Linked DNA regions of Saccharomyces cerevisiae S288C. The gene in region 3 interacts genetically with the main gene of each other region. Each region holds a gene or a part of one and is shown on either strand. Other genes may lie near its edges.

The links.
Region 1: mutations in PGI1 (region 3) and ATP15 together harm fitness less than expected from each alone (positive genetic interaction), as found in Saccharomyces cerevisiae (one large-scale study listed by BioGRID).
Region 2: mutations in PGI1 (region 3) and CUL3 together harm fitness more than expected from each alone (negative genetic interaction), as found in Saccharomyces cerevisiae (one large-scale study listed by BioGRID).

The regions. Positions count from the first base shown.
Region 1 is NC_001148.4:26,971-30,767, reverse strand, and holds ATP15 (F1F0 ATP synthase subunit epsilon), read right to left. Parts: upstream 690-3,797; coding exon 501-689; downstream 1-500. Other genes in the region: ATP-binding cassette permease MDL2, read right to left, coding at 1-286; PBI1 (Pbi1p), read left to right, coding at 2,604-3,797. UniProt on the Saccharomyces cerevisiae protein: Mitochondrial membrane ATP synthase (F(1)F(0) ATP synthase or Complex V) produces ATP from ADP in the presence of a proton gradient across the membrane which is generated by electron transport complexes of the respiratory chain.
Region 2 is NC_001139.9:497,292-502,866, reverse strand, and holds CUL3 (cullin CUL3), read right to left. Parts: upstream 2,736-5,575; coding exon 501-2,735; downstream 1-500. Other genes in the region: SWC4 (Swc4p), read left to right, coding at 2,961-4,391; EFM5 (protein-lysine N-methyltransferase), read left to right, coding at 4,833-4,867, 4,930-5,408, 5,502-5,575. UniProt on the Saccharomyces cerevisiae protein: As part of the CRL3 E3 ubiquitin ligase complex; polyubiquitylates monoubiquitylated RNA polymerase II subunit RPO21 to trigger its proteolysis; plays a role in global genomic repair.
Region 3 is NC_001134.8:610,869-616,995, forward strand, and holds PGI1 (glucose-6-phosphate isomerase), read right to left. Parts: upstream 3,033-6,127; coding exon 1,368-3,032; downstream 1-1,367. Other genes in the region: MSI1 (Msi1p), read right to left, coding at 1-1,014; YBR196C-A (uncharacterized protein), read right to left, coding at 3,156-3,305; YBR196C-B (uncharacterized protein), read right to left, coding at 3,658-3,762; YBR197C (uncharacterized protein), read right to left, coding at 4,335-4,988; TAF5 (chromatin modification protein), read right to left, coding at 5,259-6,127. UniProt on the Saccharomyces cerevisiae protein: In the cytoplasm, catalyzes the conversion of glucose-6-phosphate to fructose-6-phosphate, the second step in glycolysis, and the reverse reaction during gluconeogenesis.

The sequences.
Region 1 (3,797 bases), on a different chromosome or scaffold from region 3:
GCTCCTTTGCATGTGCCGACCTTGCTGATCCTTTAGATATGGGAGAGGCTGAAGGCAGAGAAGTTTCTGGAACTGTTTTGGATGAATTACATCTAAAACTTTGTAAAATTAGTGATTTTCCAACTGCAGGTGACCTTAAACACAACCGACTGAGAGGAATGAGCTGCGATGAAGAAGGGGTGACCAAAGACCGAAACCTTATAGATGGCAGTTTAGCCAGTCGGGGACGGGACAGCATGTTTCTGCATATGCCCAGCCGCAAAAGTGGTAAACGACCATTCAACATTGCGATTGGCGATGATGGGACATATATTTCTTTTTCTTTTAATGCAATGATACAAACTTTATACCACTCTTCGAAGCGGCCAGTATTCAATATCATTGTAGTCATTATTAGTTTCCCGTATAAAAGTACGTAAGTTTTCATACACAGTTGCTAGAATATTTAAAATGTATATCAGCGAGTAAAAAAAGAGCTGCAGTTCCCAGGAAGCGTTAAACTATTTTGTTATTGGAGTGGGTTCAGAAGCTGCAGTGCCATTTTTATATTGGGTATAAAAAGCATCTGTTTGCGATCTGTTAAGAACACTAGCGGTTTGTAATTCAGTTTTCAATGAAGAACGGATAGCCTGAGCGGCCACATTCAAATATGCAGCATATGATATACCAGCTTTCCTCCAGGCAGACATTTTATGAATCGGTTGTGGGCTGAAACTGTTGATGTTTCTTAGAAATACATATCTTGCTAAGTACTCAATAGAAAGGCCTACTTGTATCTCTTCATTTAACTAGACGAAAAAGGGGAGGATCAAATTTCATTGGTTCGTATAAAAGTATTAAAAAATAAGCGCGTTGCCAGACTTAGTGTGAGATAGTAAGCTAGTAAATCATCTGCTATTACCTAGTTTAGCGTATTTCCTAATAAGGATTACCAATTCCTCAAGTTCATGGCTTGGTAAGATACAGCTATAGCTTTCTTAGTTTTTTTCTTCGAGAGAACTAGTACAATGCTTCTATAGAAGTTAAGAAGTTTACCTTTTCGAAGAACAAATATATTGTTGCTTTGCTTACTCCGAGGTTATCGACTATTTTTGGCAATCCGTTTGAACCTGGATAAATACGTAAATCAGACTTTCTTTAGCCGGATCAACTCTTTTTTTTTTGTAAGCACTCTGACTTGTCGCTGCTGTGTCTGCCAATAATTCAATAATTCATAGTATTTCATACCATATGCTTTATTTAGTGTCCCACTGATGTGAGTTGAAGAATTGTATTCAGATAGGCATATCTTAAGGTCCAACTATTGCCACCGTCGTAGTGCGGAAAGGTTGATTATCGAGCGAATTAGAGGAATAAATGCTGCTATGCGCACGATGAGCAAATCGGAAGTAAACCACGCCGCTGATCCACCTGAACAAAAGAATCTCGCGGAGTTACGATTTAATGTAGGTTTGCTCAGATTACGTTACTGATACTTTACTTTGGACAAAAGTTCTCATACAAACTGTGGAAACAACACCGCTTAAACCAACGATTATGAAATGACATGGTCTAAAGTAATATAATCTATATTAGAATGTGCAGATGGCTATGGTATCCATGCGATGGCAAACCTCCGCAATGATTGGCGTTCTAGCGGCTATCCGAATTCACAATCGACAAGAAGTACTTCTAACTTACACAAGGCAACGAAATAATATCACTCTATGAAACTGCCATTTGGGTAATAGGAGTATATTGAACGACACCGGGTCAACAAGCAACTTTCCTAAGCCTTTTACACTTCTTCACATCATTCAAGATCGCCTTTTAACGAGCTACAAACCTTCACGTTCGTTCTTCTATGGAAACGTTTAAGATAACGTTAAAACGTTCTCAATCACAGAATTTAAGATGATTAGAAATGTTTTCCAAGGGATAGGGCGAAGCACAACCTCGAAAAATGGCAAAATTTTAGAATCTTAGCCACCTTAACGTCTACTTAGAGCCTTAGAAAAGCCATCAAGATTGGTGGAATAGTTGTTGAGGGAACTTAGCCGCCACATTCTCGTAGCCAAATAAAGCGAATCTGACCATTGTATGTTTCTTTTTCACTGGTATGATAGCCCAATGTGTTTAAGGAAAGTTAGGACAACACACCCGAAGAAGGACGTCACCCCTGCATTCCCAAACGAGCTATGAAATAGCTCTTTCCTCTACAAGTAATAACAACAACTTTTTTGTCTGTTTTCCGACCGTTTAACTTCAGAGATTAATTTTTTCAACGCGCTTTCGTTGAACGTCGCAAATTCGTTTAGAATAAACGAAAGGTGACAGAAATAGAAGATTATAGCCATGCATACGCACATAAATTGAAAACTGTTTCGAGGCTGAGTATTCCCTGCGTCTGCAGCCATCAGGGGTATGACTCTGCTACACGTTTACTATATTCTTGGCTAAACGATTCATTAACGAAGCGATGAGTAGATCACACTCGGCATACGAGCACAAATTTGTATGGGGGGACGGTCATATATAAAAGGGTGTATACGTTATCCTTGTTATACCTGTCCAAAGAAGTGCATTTGTAACTCACAACACAGACACATCCTCACTTTATCATAATGACTACGTTTAGGCCACTATCAAGTTTTGAAAAAAAAATTCTCACTCAATCTTTGAATGACCAAAGAAATGGAACTATTTTTTCGAGTACATATTCAAAATCTTTAAGTAGAGAAAATGACGCTGACTGGCATTCTGATGAAGTCACGCTCGGAACAAATTCTTCCAAAGATGATTCTCGTCTGACTCTGCCCCTAATAGCAACAACTTTGAAGAGATTGATTAAATCGCAACCGGCATTGTTTGCAACTGTAAACGAAGAATGGGAATTCGAGCCATTGAAGCAGCTGAAAACTTCCGATATTGTTAATGTGATTGAGTTTGAAACCATAAAAGATAAGGAGGTCAATTGCCATTGGGGTGTTCCACCTCCTTATCTCTTGCGTCATGCCTTCAACAAGACTAGATTTGTTCCCGGATCAAATAAACCTTTATGGACACTATATGTAATTGACGAAGCGCTATTGGTTTTTCATGGTCACGACGTATTGTTTGATATATTTTCAGCAGCTAACTTTCACAAATTATTTTTAAAAGAGTTAAACGAAATCAGCACAGTAACACACTCTGAAGATAGGATTTTGTTTGATGTCAATGACATCAATCTCTCAGAATTAAAATTTCCCAAATCGATATATGATAGCGCAAAATTACACCTGCCCGCTATGACACCACAAATCTTCCACAAGCAAACTCAGTCATTTTTCAAATCAATATACTATAACACTTTAAAAAGACCTTTCGGCTATTTAACCAATCAAACTTCCCTCAGCTCGTCAGTATCTGCAACACAGCTGAAAAAGTATAATGATATTCTAAATGCGCACACCTCATTATGCGGGACAACAGTATTTGGGATAGTAAACAACCAAAGGTTTAACTATTTAAAGTCAATCGTTAATCAAGAGCATATATGTCTAAGAAGTTTCATCTGTGGTATTGCAATGATATGTTTAAAACCTCTCGTTAAGGATTTCAGCGGTACAATAGTATTTACTATTCCCATAAATTTAAGAAACCACTTAGGCTTAGGTGGGTCATTGGGTCTCTTCTTCAAAGAACTAAGGGTCGAATGTCCACTTTCTCTAATTGATGACGAACTTTCCGCCAACGAATTTTTGACCAACAGTAACGATAACGAGGATAATGATGATGAGTTTAATGAAAGATTGATGGAATATCAATTTAATAAA
Region 2 (5,575 bases), on a different chromosome or scaffold from region 3:
GATAATAATTTTGGTGAGCTTCTCTTATACCGTAAATTTCAACATATATTTTTCTACCAGGAAAAGTGAAATACGGCCGCTAAGCATCTGAAAAAAAAAAAAGAGCAAGGCGCTGCTATTGATAATAGTTCCTTTGAAGCAGTGCTACGCAGGTCTGAAAGGCTCGTAACTTTAACTTACTTAATGATTAAGAAAGAAATTATTTGACTCAACAAATTCCTAGAAGTTTTTTATAAAAATATAATGAGGCATAATAAACTTCAAGAGATATCGATTACCCACTCCACATTACATTCAAGTTTGACTGGGATATATAGTCTACCATAACTATGTTATTATATATTTTGAAAGTTTCACTAAGGAATGCAGGATGAACATTCAATTAGTATCGACGCATATCCTCTTAATATTGTTCGCTCTGGCAGCCGGATAGGAACTGCCATCTATATATACTGTTGGCATTCTGCAAACCTTATACCTGTGATTTTCATTATAAGCAATTAGGAAAGGTAATGGTAATAAGAGGGGTCATCTGCGTTTCTCTGGATGTATTCTTTCTCTATTAAAAGCTGAATGCTTCGTTTCAAAATGCTCGGTGTAAGACTGAGCCGAGACTGTGTCCGTTTCGTAGTTCTTTCAAGTAATTGCTGATGGCTTAGCTTACCTTCTGTTTTCATGATACGAACAATAATAGCACTAAGCTCCATAACAATTTCATTATCATAAGTGTCCACGGAACTTGCGGTTGCCAAATTATCTGATTTCTGAGATGGTAGAGGGCATGCAATAACCGGCACTTTCACTTTCCTGTTTGGAGAAGAAAAGAAATAATTAACTGAAAATTTCATATTTCCTGAACTGGATGATTTTTTCAAAATCTTACATCTGGGTATTGTCGACATTGACATTACAAGAGACTTAACGTCATCTATGGGAATATGAGTTAGTTCATATATTTCCCCCAACGTTAATTCTTCATAATCTTCAAATAGAAGGAAAATCACTCCAGCGTAAACAGAAAAACTTATTTCGTAGTAACCGCTATTAAATTGGCAGCCAATTTCAATTACACTTAGATGATGAGCCCACTTTAGCACTCTTTCTTTGTATTTTAAGCTGTAATAGCCCTCAAAGCCAGCTAAAATTTGTGACATTCTAGGAGGTAGTGAAATACCTTCATCAATTGGATTAGTACTCTGAAAGGGCCAGCTCGTTCTCGTCAAAACTTGTGGTGCAAAACTCAAATATTCTATGCTGTTGATTGTTGAGTGTTGGAATGCTTGATACATTTCAGAGGATAAAGATATATCTCGCAGCATTATCTCCAATTTTGAGGTAAAAAAAGTTCCTAGAACCTTCTTTATCATTTGCACCATCCATTTTTCAATTTCCACTAAAGACCTCTGCTGCAGTAATCTTCTGGAGAGTTGTTTTTTGTAAATCTTTTCAAATATATCCTTCTCAGTTAGGAGTCCGATTAATTTGGTACTATCAAGCAAATCTTGCTTGATCTTCACTATTTCAGCATCTTTTTCCTTGGTTCGTTTCATACAATGGTCCACGTAGGTAGAAAGATACTCAGATGGTAATGCTCCTTCTTTAGAGAAATACATTGAGAAAACATCGCCAAGTATTGCATTAGATACATCCCCGGTCAAATTATTAAGACGAACAGAACCAAAATCAATACTTTCCAAAAACGAGTGTTGACTGCGATATAGCTCTACAATTTCCGAAGACCAAGTAATCGCATTCTGCCCTTTTTTGCGGTTACCTTCATTAAAAGGAATATTTATGGCATTTTTATTGATGTAAGATTTAATAGATTCAATGACAGTAACGCGATATTTTTCCTCGCTTGACAAGTCATAAATTTCTTGGAGTAGCTTTCCATTTGAAATTACCATTGCTTCGTGCGTTAGATCTTCAATAATATCACTCAACTTTCCCCATATAAGGACATTTTCTAATACAGTCTTCAACTTATTATGAGAATCCACATTTAGAAAAGAGGAGTCTAGCATACTTTCAAACTGCCTTAACTTCCTAATCTTTTCCAGGCTCTCAATTGGCGTTAATAATTCAATATCAATAGCTTTATTGTAGTATTCTTCTGTCGCGCTAATCAAAACCGGCTCAAAATCGGTTAAGAAAAAACTATCTCTATTGTCATGTAATGTCTCCATCATTCCTATTAGTACTTTCCACAAACTAGTATGTTCGGAGTCGACAGATCCTAAATTACGAATCCTTTCTATATCAGATATCAGTGCTGAGATGAGAGAAGATGAGCATTTTTGCAATATTTCGATTCGGAAAAGATCGAGGCACATGTCGTATACCTCCATGCATCTATTTGGTTTGCAATAAACTTTGTCCATATACATCATTAAGTCTCCCGTTATTTTAAAACAATGGCATTGCACCTCCCATAACCGTGCCATAGTTCCAAGAAACTCATAATCATGAGTATTGTCCTTGACTATCGTTTCCCTCAAAAGCGCTAATTTTTGGATTAAATAATCTTTCAATCTGTTATAAAGTATTGGCCCCTTTTTATTTAAAACGATAGTATAAATGGTCTTGTACACTTGTTCGAAGGAAAGGTCGGCCATGTCATCGCTGTATATATGATCAATGGCATATTTAACTGTTTCCCAGGATTCCTCAAAAGATTCTTCTGACAAACCGAGTTTTTCTGGGACACTTATCTTTATTTTCTTATTAGTTATCATATAGTAGCCCTAATTTCAGATTTGAGTTAGCCCGTTTAGAGTATACTTTATATGAATCAGATTAGAATACGCACACTCGAACTTATTTAATGAAGTTGCGATGCGCCAACTCCGGGTAGCTATTTAGTGATAAATCAAGAATCCACTTTGTATTTTAATAGCAACAAGCATTCATAACATATTTCTCCGATAATACGAAAATTTAGTAAAAAAACCACAGGTAATATGTCATCATCAGACATCTTTGATGTACTAAACATTAAGCAAAAATCCAGAAGTCCAACTAATGGCCAGGTATCAGTGCCTTCGTCCTCGGCAGCCAACCGGCCCAAGCCTCAAGTGACGGGCATGCAAAGAGAACTATTTAACCTGCTAGGAGAGAACCAACCCCCCGTTGTTATTAAGTCTGGAAATAACTTTAAAGAAAAAATGCTTTCGACGTCCAAGCCATCTCCTTGGTCATTTGTAGAGTTCAAAGCTAATAACTCTGTGACTCTGCGTCATTGGGTCAAGGGTTCCAAAGAATTAATAGGAGACACACCAAAAGAATCGCCATATTCTAAGTTCAATCAGCATTTATCTATTCCATCATTCACCAAGGAGGAGTACGAGGCTTTTATGAATGAAAACGAAGGAACTCAAAAAAGCGTAGAAAGTGAAAAAAACCATAACGAAAACTTTACTAATGAAAAGAAGGATGAAAGTAAAAATAGCTGGTCTTTTGAAGAAATAGAATACCTGTTCAATCTCTGCAAAAAATACGATTTACGTTGGTTCCTGATCTTTGACAGATACAGTTATAATAATTCAAGAACACTTGAAGATCTCAAAGAAAAATTTTATTACACCTGTAGGAATTATTTTAAAGCAAGTGATCCTAGCAATCCGCTTTTATCTTCTTTGAATTTTTCAGCTGAAAAGGAGATAGAGAGAAAAAAGTATTTACAGCGTCTTCTTTCTCGTTCTGCAGCAGAAATTGCTGAAGAAGAGGCACTCGTAGTAGAGTCCAAAAAATTTGAAATGGCTGCCAAGAGAACACTTGCAGAAAGAGAATCATTACTCCGACTGTTGGACTCGCCACATTCAGATCAGACAATTACACAATACCTTACCTCTCAGGGAATGTCTCAGTTATATAACGCGCTTCTAGCAGATAAAACTAGAAAGCGGAAGCACGATTTGAACATCCCTGAAAATCCTTGGATGAAGCAGCAACAGCAGTTTGCCCAACATAGGCAACTTCAACAACTGAATGTAAAAAAGTCAGAAGTCAAGGAAAATCTCTCCCCCAAGAAAACCAAAAGACAAAGACAGGAAATGCAAACGGCGCTCAAAAGAAAGTCAGAAAGCGCATATGCAGAACAATTGCTGAAAGATTTCAATTCAGATGAAAGGAAGGCTTTAGGTGTGATTACGCATGGTGAGAAGCTATCGCCGGGTGTATACTTAAGATCTACAAAATTATCGACCTTCAAACCTGCGCTGCAGAACAAAATTCTCGCCATTCTTCAAGAATTATCGTTACCTTCTCGCCCTGTGATGCCCTCATTTGATGTAATGGAAAGACAAGAGGAGCTTTTGAAAAAAATCAATACGCTTATCGATTTAAAAAAACACGTTGACAAATACGAAGCTGGTATGTCAATCACCAAGTGAACATCAGAAAATGCTTTTTGCTAGCACGTATGTGATTAAAATTTTTGCGTAAAATAGACTGTTTTATAATATTTGGTGTACAACATGGGACCTTCAGAGGTACTTTCGGAAATCACGCAAATATTATGCACTAGTAACCCTCAATCTCTAAATAACTTATATTGTCATCTGTAAGGCAGCAAAATCCAAGATGGGCAATGTATATAGGTATATAGTTTAGTATTGTCATCTCATAGAATATCAACTGCATAATATACATGTATATATAATTTCCCATTCATTTAGAGGCTTCTTTTTTCGTCTGTATCGCTGAACCTTATGCCGGTTAAATCTAACAAAATTTTTTTGAACTGGAGGAACTAAAAAAAAAAATATTAATCTTGACTAATATACTAATCAGTCACTTTACATCTTAATGAAACCGAAAGAATCACTGATAAAATGTCCGACTCCGACTCCGACTCCGATTATGAATTGTAAGTACAGGATATTTTCAACACAGTAACGTAGAATTACTAACTAACACGAAACTTAATAGGACACTTTCTGCTAATGCCCTCGCTGCCCTTGAAGAATTCAAAAGAGAGGAACAACAACATCAAGAAGCCTTTCAAAAGCTTTACGACGAAACGGATGAAGACTTCCAAAAGAAAAAAAAAGAAGAAGGGATGAAGCTTTTCAAGGAAGATTGGCAGCTTTCCCAGTTTTGGTACAGCGATGACACAGCCGCAATTTTAGCAGATGCCATATTGGAAGGTGCGGACGAAAACACTGTAATTGCAATAGTTAGTGCGCCATCCGTCTATGCTGCCATTCAAAAGAAACCTACTAATGAAATTCCAACCGAACATATCTACTTGTTCGAATTTGATAAGAGATTCGAGTTGTTAGCTGGAAGAGATCATTTCTTTTTTTATGATTACAATAAACCACTGGACTTCAGTGATGAAATTAAAGGAAAAGTTGATAGATTGTTAATTGACCCACCTTTTTTAAATGAAGATTGTCAAACAAAGTGTATGTATATCATAAACATATCCCTACTCATTTTTTAATCTTTTTTCCAGTATCTTTTCATCTTACTAACTGTTATTCATTGATATAAAATAGCCTCTATCACTGCAAAGTGTTTATTAGCGCCAAATGACAACTCTAAAACTAAGAAAGGAGTTTTTAAGCACCGC
Region 3 (6,127 bases):
CTCCATGGTAGCGATTGGGCTTTTGTTCATGTTTCTAATATCCCATAAATTTAGCCTCCCATTTGAATCTGCAGATGCTAGAATTAAAGAGTTCTTATAGTTAAATCTACAGGAGTTTACTCCACCATCGTGTTTTTCACGGTTACTCTGGAGCTTCTCTTTCTTAGTCCTCAGATCTAATAGGGAGACCGCATTTCCTTCAGTACAAGCAGCAAAGAGGGAATCGTGTGTTGGCATCCAAGTTACATCATTCACCGCTGTTCCGTCGCTGTTTATTGACACTAAGGGTAAATCTATTATAGGGTTCTCATGCGAATATTGTTTAATGTCCCAAACTTGAACTTGGCCGTTGGAGTGAGAAGAAAGTAAAAGGGCCTCCTGCTGCAAGTTCCAGGCTAAAGAAGTCGCCTCATTTATATCTGCCGAAGAAGTATCCATTGCCTCCACGTCTTGAATAACACCATGTGAACCAAACAGCTTTGTCTCAAAGGGATGTGAAATTTTGGACTGTCTTATTCTAGTAGAGCCGTGTTTTGTTCTATCGAATATGTAGATTGCACCATCTGAAGAGGCGCCGGCTATAATATCTGGATTTTGAGGCAAATATCTTGCCCTATTGCATTCCCCGTTTGGGAAGAAAATACTGATGTCATTTACTAAGTGTTTGGAGGGAAACCTTGTCGAGTTCTCCGGTTTGAATTCCATTTCGTCCATGTCGAAATTATTTAAAGATGACCATTTTATATGACCCAACGTGGATATTTTGCTAATATATATGGTCTCATCTTCAGGTTTTTGGGAAGATGTAAATGAGGATAACAAGATGCGATGCTCATCCGAAGTGGTATCTAAATCAGGAAAGAACTGGCACGTTAAGGACGGCCACTTTGTTGAATTCGTGTTTAGGTAATCATAAAGTAGTTTAGTGTTTTTCTTCCAGTGCGAGTATCTTTCTTGCAAATCGATGGGTATACTGGAGGCTTCATGAGTTATGTCCTTCGCGCACTGATTCATCTTTGAAACTAAATTTGTATATTGTTTGTCAGAAATAGGACCTGATATCCTCCTTTTAAACAGTTGATGAGAACCTTTTTCGCAAGTTCAAGGTGCTCTAATTTTTAAAATTTTTACTTTTCGCGACACAATAAAGTCTTCACGACGCTAAACTATTAGTGCACATAATGTAGTTACTTGGACGCTGTTCAATAATGTATAAAATTTATTTCCTTTGCATTACGTACATTATATAACCAAATCTTAAAAATATAGAAATATGATATGTGTATAATAATATAAGCAAAATTTACGTATCTTTGCTTATAATATAGCTTTAATGTTCTTTAGGTATATATTTAAGAGCGATTTGTTCACATCCATTCCTTGAATTGATTGATTAAACCGTTGGTAGAAGCATCGTGGGTAGAAATGGTGGAGGAGTTGTCCAATTCCTTGCCGATGACTTTAGCCAAGACTTTACCCAATTCAACACCCCATTGGTCGAAAGAGTTGATATTCCAAATGGCACCTTCAGTGAAAGTAACATGTTCGTAGTAGGCAATCAAAGCACCCAAAGTAGCTGGAGTAATCTTTTGAGCCAAGATAGAGGTAGTTGGTCTGTTACCTGAGAAGACCTTGTGTGGGACCAAACCACCAGTGGCACCTTCAGCCTTAACTTGTTCTTCATCCTTACCAACCATTAAAGCTTCAGCTTGAGCAAAGAAGTTTGAAGCCAACATCTTTTGATGTAATTTGTTCTCAATTGGGTTATGAGATTGAGCAGCTAAGATGAAATCAGATGGAATCAACTTGGTACCTTGGTGAACCAATTGGAAGAAAGAGTGTTGAGCGTTGGTAGCTGGTTCACCAAACAAGATAGAACCAGTAGAGTAGTCAGTAAACACGTTACCTCTGGTAACAGACTTACCGTTAGATTCCATTGACAATTGTTGCAAGTAGGCTGGGAATCTGTGCAAGTATTGGTCGAATGGAGCAACCAAATGGGTTTGAGCACCAAAGAAGTTGTTGTACCAGACAGACAACAAACCACCCAACAATGGAATGTTGTCTTCCAATGGGGTTTGGGTGAAGTGGTTGTCGACGGCTTCAGCACCCTTCAAGAAAGCCTCAAAGTTGTCATAGCCAATGTACAAGGCAACAGACAAACCAATAGCCGACCAGACAGAGTAACGACCACCGACCCAACTTTCGAAACCAAACATGTTTTTGGTGTCAATACCGAACTTGGCAACTTCGGTTTCGTTAGTGGACAAAGCAGCGAAATGCTTAGCAATGTGAGATGGATCATTACCTGTCTTCGACAAGAACCAGTTCTTGGCAGTGTTAGCGTTAGTGATAGTTTCAGCGGTAGTGAAAGTCTTGGAAGCAATCAAAAACAAAGTAGTTTCTGGGTCAACAACCTTCAAGGTTTCAGCAATGTGAGTACCGTCAATGTTGGAAACGAAGTGGACATCCAAGACACCAGCGTAGTGCTTCAAAGCCTCAGTGACCATGACTGGACCCAAATCGGAACCACCAATACCGATGTTAACAACATCGGTGATCTTCTTACCGGTATAACCCTTCCATTCACCAGAACGAACTTGTTCAGAGAACTCCTTCATGTGCTTCAAGACAGAGTCGACTTCTGGAGCAACGTTGACACCATCAACGTACATTGGCTTGTTAGCTCTGTTTCTCAATGCGACGTGGTAGACAGCACGATCTTCAGTGGAGTTGATGTGTTCACCTTTGAACATAGCATCTCTCAAACCGGTGACGTTAGCCTCCTTGGCCAGTTCAATCAATGCAGCAATGATTTCATCGTTGACCAAGTTCTTTGAGTAGTCGAACAAGATTTTGGAACCATCATAGTTGGTGAAAGTCTTGTTCAATTTTTCAAAACGCTTGGCATCTTTTTGGAATTCTTGCTTGACAGACAAAGTCTTACCTTGAGATTCATAAATTTTTTGCAACTTAGACCAGGCTGGCAATTCAGTGGCCAGTTTGAAGTTAGTGAATGAGTTATTGGACATTTTTAGGCTGGTATCTTGATTCTAAATCGATTTTGCAAGACTAGAGGAATATGTATTAAAATTCACTGAATGCAAGTAAAATATTAAGTAAAAGAAAGCATTGATTATGAAGAAAGGACCTTTTTAAGATATGAGAACAATGAGAAAAGGAAAAATGGGACGAAACAAATAGGGAAAATTCCGTCTGTAAAACCAATTGTAGTAACAAAAAACGCTCATTTCAATAGCAAAAAAATAGAATACCGTCAATGGATATATATAGACACGGGACATTATAACAACGTGCAGATGGTGATGATTGCAAACCCAAAAAATTACCAGCTTCCTGTAATTCCAGGTTGAGCGCGTGGCTTCCTATAATCCAATACACCCACACCCACCCAGATCGTGATTTTTGTTACCATCCCGGTTCTTGCCTCATTGACATATTTTTCTGACGGTGACAGAACGTGGCCTTGTACACTCTTTTTTAATGTTACGCTGGCACAACATAGTTCAACGAAAAACGAATTAAGTTCTTACTTCCGTGTTTTAATCAGAAAACGATATTCCAATGAGAGATATAAGCGTAAGGTAGCATGTCCGATGGCAAAATTCTCTTTGCTTCCGCAGCGGGGCCAAAGTCTTACTCGCCTCTAACCCCACGTAGGACAAGTGCTGAGAATAAAATAGTCTTGGCGTAGTATGCCTTCTTCAGTAATATTTTTTCTTTTGAAAGTACTACCCACATCCGAACATTGCCACTTACATAGCGATGCAAATAGCCGCCAGGAAATGCCGCATGTTATCCACTAAGAATAGTCAACATTGCATAGCATCCAAATACGTGAAAGCGGACCGATCTTGAGCGAAATGTTTAGTACCGTTGATGTGTAGAAGTAGTGCCCTGAAATACATAGCGGTGTATTATTTAGCATTAACATACAAAAAAAAAATAACGGAGGCACCAATGGAAGTGGTGTCGCTACATTAGTTTTTAACTCAGTCAGAAAACTGAATTTAGTTGATATGGGACCGCTCCAAGGTAGGAGAATACTAGATCAAGTAAAGCAACCGCACTAGTGCCTTTTTCAAACAAGGTGGTTTGATGAGGAGGCTTTCTACAATCCTAGAAATATAAGACATCTGTCAGATTAGCCGCCGTTCATATGGTTTCAAAAGGTTGCGAATGGAGACAAACGTTCCTCGTCCCAAATTAGCCAGACGGAACAGGACAATAAAGGTGATAATGTAATCCATGACTTCCTCTATTTTAGACGGGACTTTTAGCATCCTCTAAATATTTTCAACCCATACATGTCATCAGCATCGGTGAACATCTTTAATAGTATCGACAACTTGGCTCACGTACTTCTCACCGTCAAGTGCGATTTCCGGGTCATGCAATACCTCGTCTGGTTCTTGATCTTTATTCGTGGCAGAATTATGCTGATCCTTATGAGGAGGGCTCCTCAGCTTGGCATACTTTAGTCGCTGATTTCTTTCCCTCATTAATCGCAGTAGTTGAGCGTGCGACTTGCGCATTTGCGTGAGATTGCTCTCAAAATCTCGTGGGAACCCGTCGTTGACGATAGGTTCTTTCGCCATCTTCTTCACATCATCCAGTGTATCGATTTCAGACCATGATACGTCTTGCGTCTCCGTAGGTGCCAGGTTTGAGTGCATTGTTATACGGCTACCATTTACGCTTCTTTCGTATGCAGTATTACCCCTACTAATGCTGGTCGTTAAGGGGTTTAGTGCTGGAGGCGTGGTTAGGTTTTTGGTCGGAAGTGCGTTGGAACTGCCCATTATAGAGGCAGTGGAATCTGAAGATCCCTTTCTTTTATCTTTGTCGCTCTTTGCCTTTAATTGAACCAGCTGAGGGTTTCCTTCCTGGCTACTAGATTTCCTTCTGTTGGTGGAATCCGCGTCGCTTACTTTCACCTGGACTGGTGGGGTTTGCTTCACTCCCATTATTTGTCTTCGTTCGTGCCAGCAACATACATTTCATCTTATTTCTCTGGAAGGTTTTTACAACAACCAGTTACATTTTTCATTTTTCTGTTCTTCGCCTTTCTTGTTTTGGCCCCGATGACTGAGCGAAAAAAAAAAGGCTAAAGAAGACGCTATGATAACCGCCGAGCAGGTCAAGTACGATGTCGAAAAAGCATCTAATAGTTACATATCGGATTAGGTTATACTTATTACATATCACTTCCATGCTGTTATTTTTTTCAGTGTGAATTATGGCCTGAAAGCACCTCCTGCAAGGGCTAAATTGCTTCTGCTGAACTTGACCTTAAAAACAGGCGTCTTTTTGGTGTAGAACGACGCTACTAAATCGCTTGTAGGTATTACTGTTCTTCTGCGACCATATTCTTTTATATCTTGGTTTATAGATGCAGTAACGTCACCCAAGTATCCAATGAATGGCTCATCTGGTTCTGCGCTTGGCTCAGTAGTGGCCTTTTTCAAATCCCATACACGGACTGTATGATCGGCACCTCCACTAATAAGTACGTTTCCCTCTTTGCTATATGATAAGGAATAAATGGCATTCTTACCATGGCCACGCATTTGTTTCAACCTTTTGCCGGTACCAATATCCCATACATTAATAATACCATCTTCGCTACCAGTGGACAACCACCTACCATCTGGACAAACAGCAATAGAAATGACGGGCGCAGTATGTCCAAGAAATAACCTAACCGAGTCGCCTGTAGAAACGTCCCACATTCGACACGTCTTATCGCTGGATCCCGTAAACACATAGCAACCGTTCGGATGAAATGACACACAATCAACATCATTTAAATGTCCTGCAAATATTCTTAATGGATATATGTGATCGCATGACCATAACCTTGCGGTTTGGTCGTGCGATGCAGTGGCGAAATAATGGCCTAGCGGGGAGAAACTAACATCCCACACAGGGTGATTATGGCCCTTATAGCTTACTAGCGCGGTGTGAGTATCCATGGACCATAGCCTGACGGTTTTATCTTCAGAACCAGAAAGTAAATACTTATTATCCGGACTGAAACTTGTTGAATATACTGTACCACTGTGCCCCACCAAAGTTTTACACGTTGGGTCTTCATCCTTGTCGT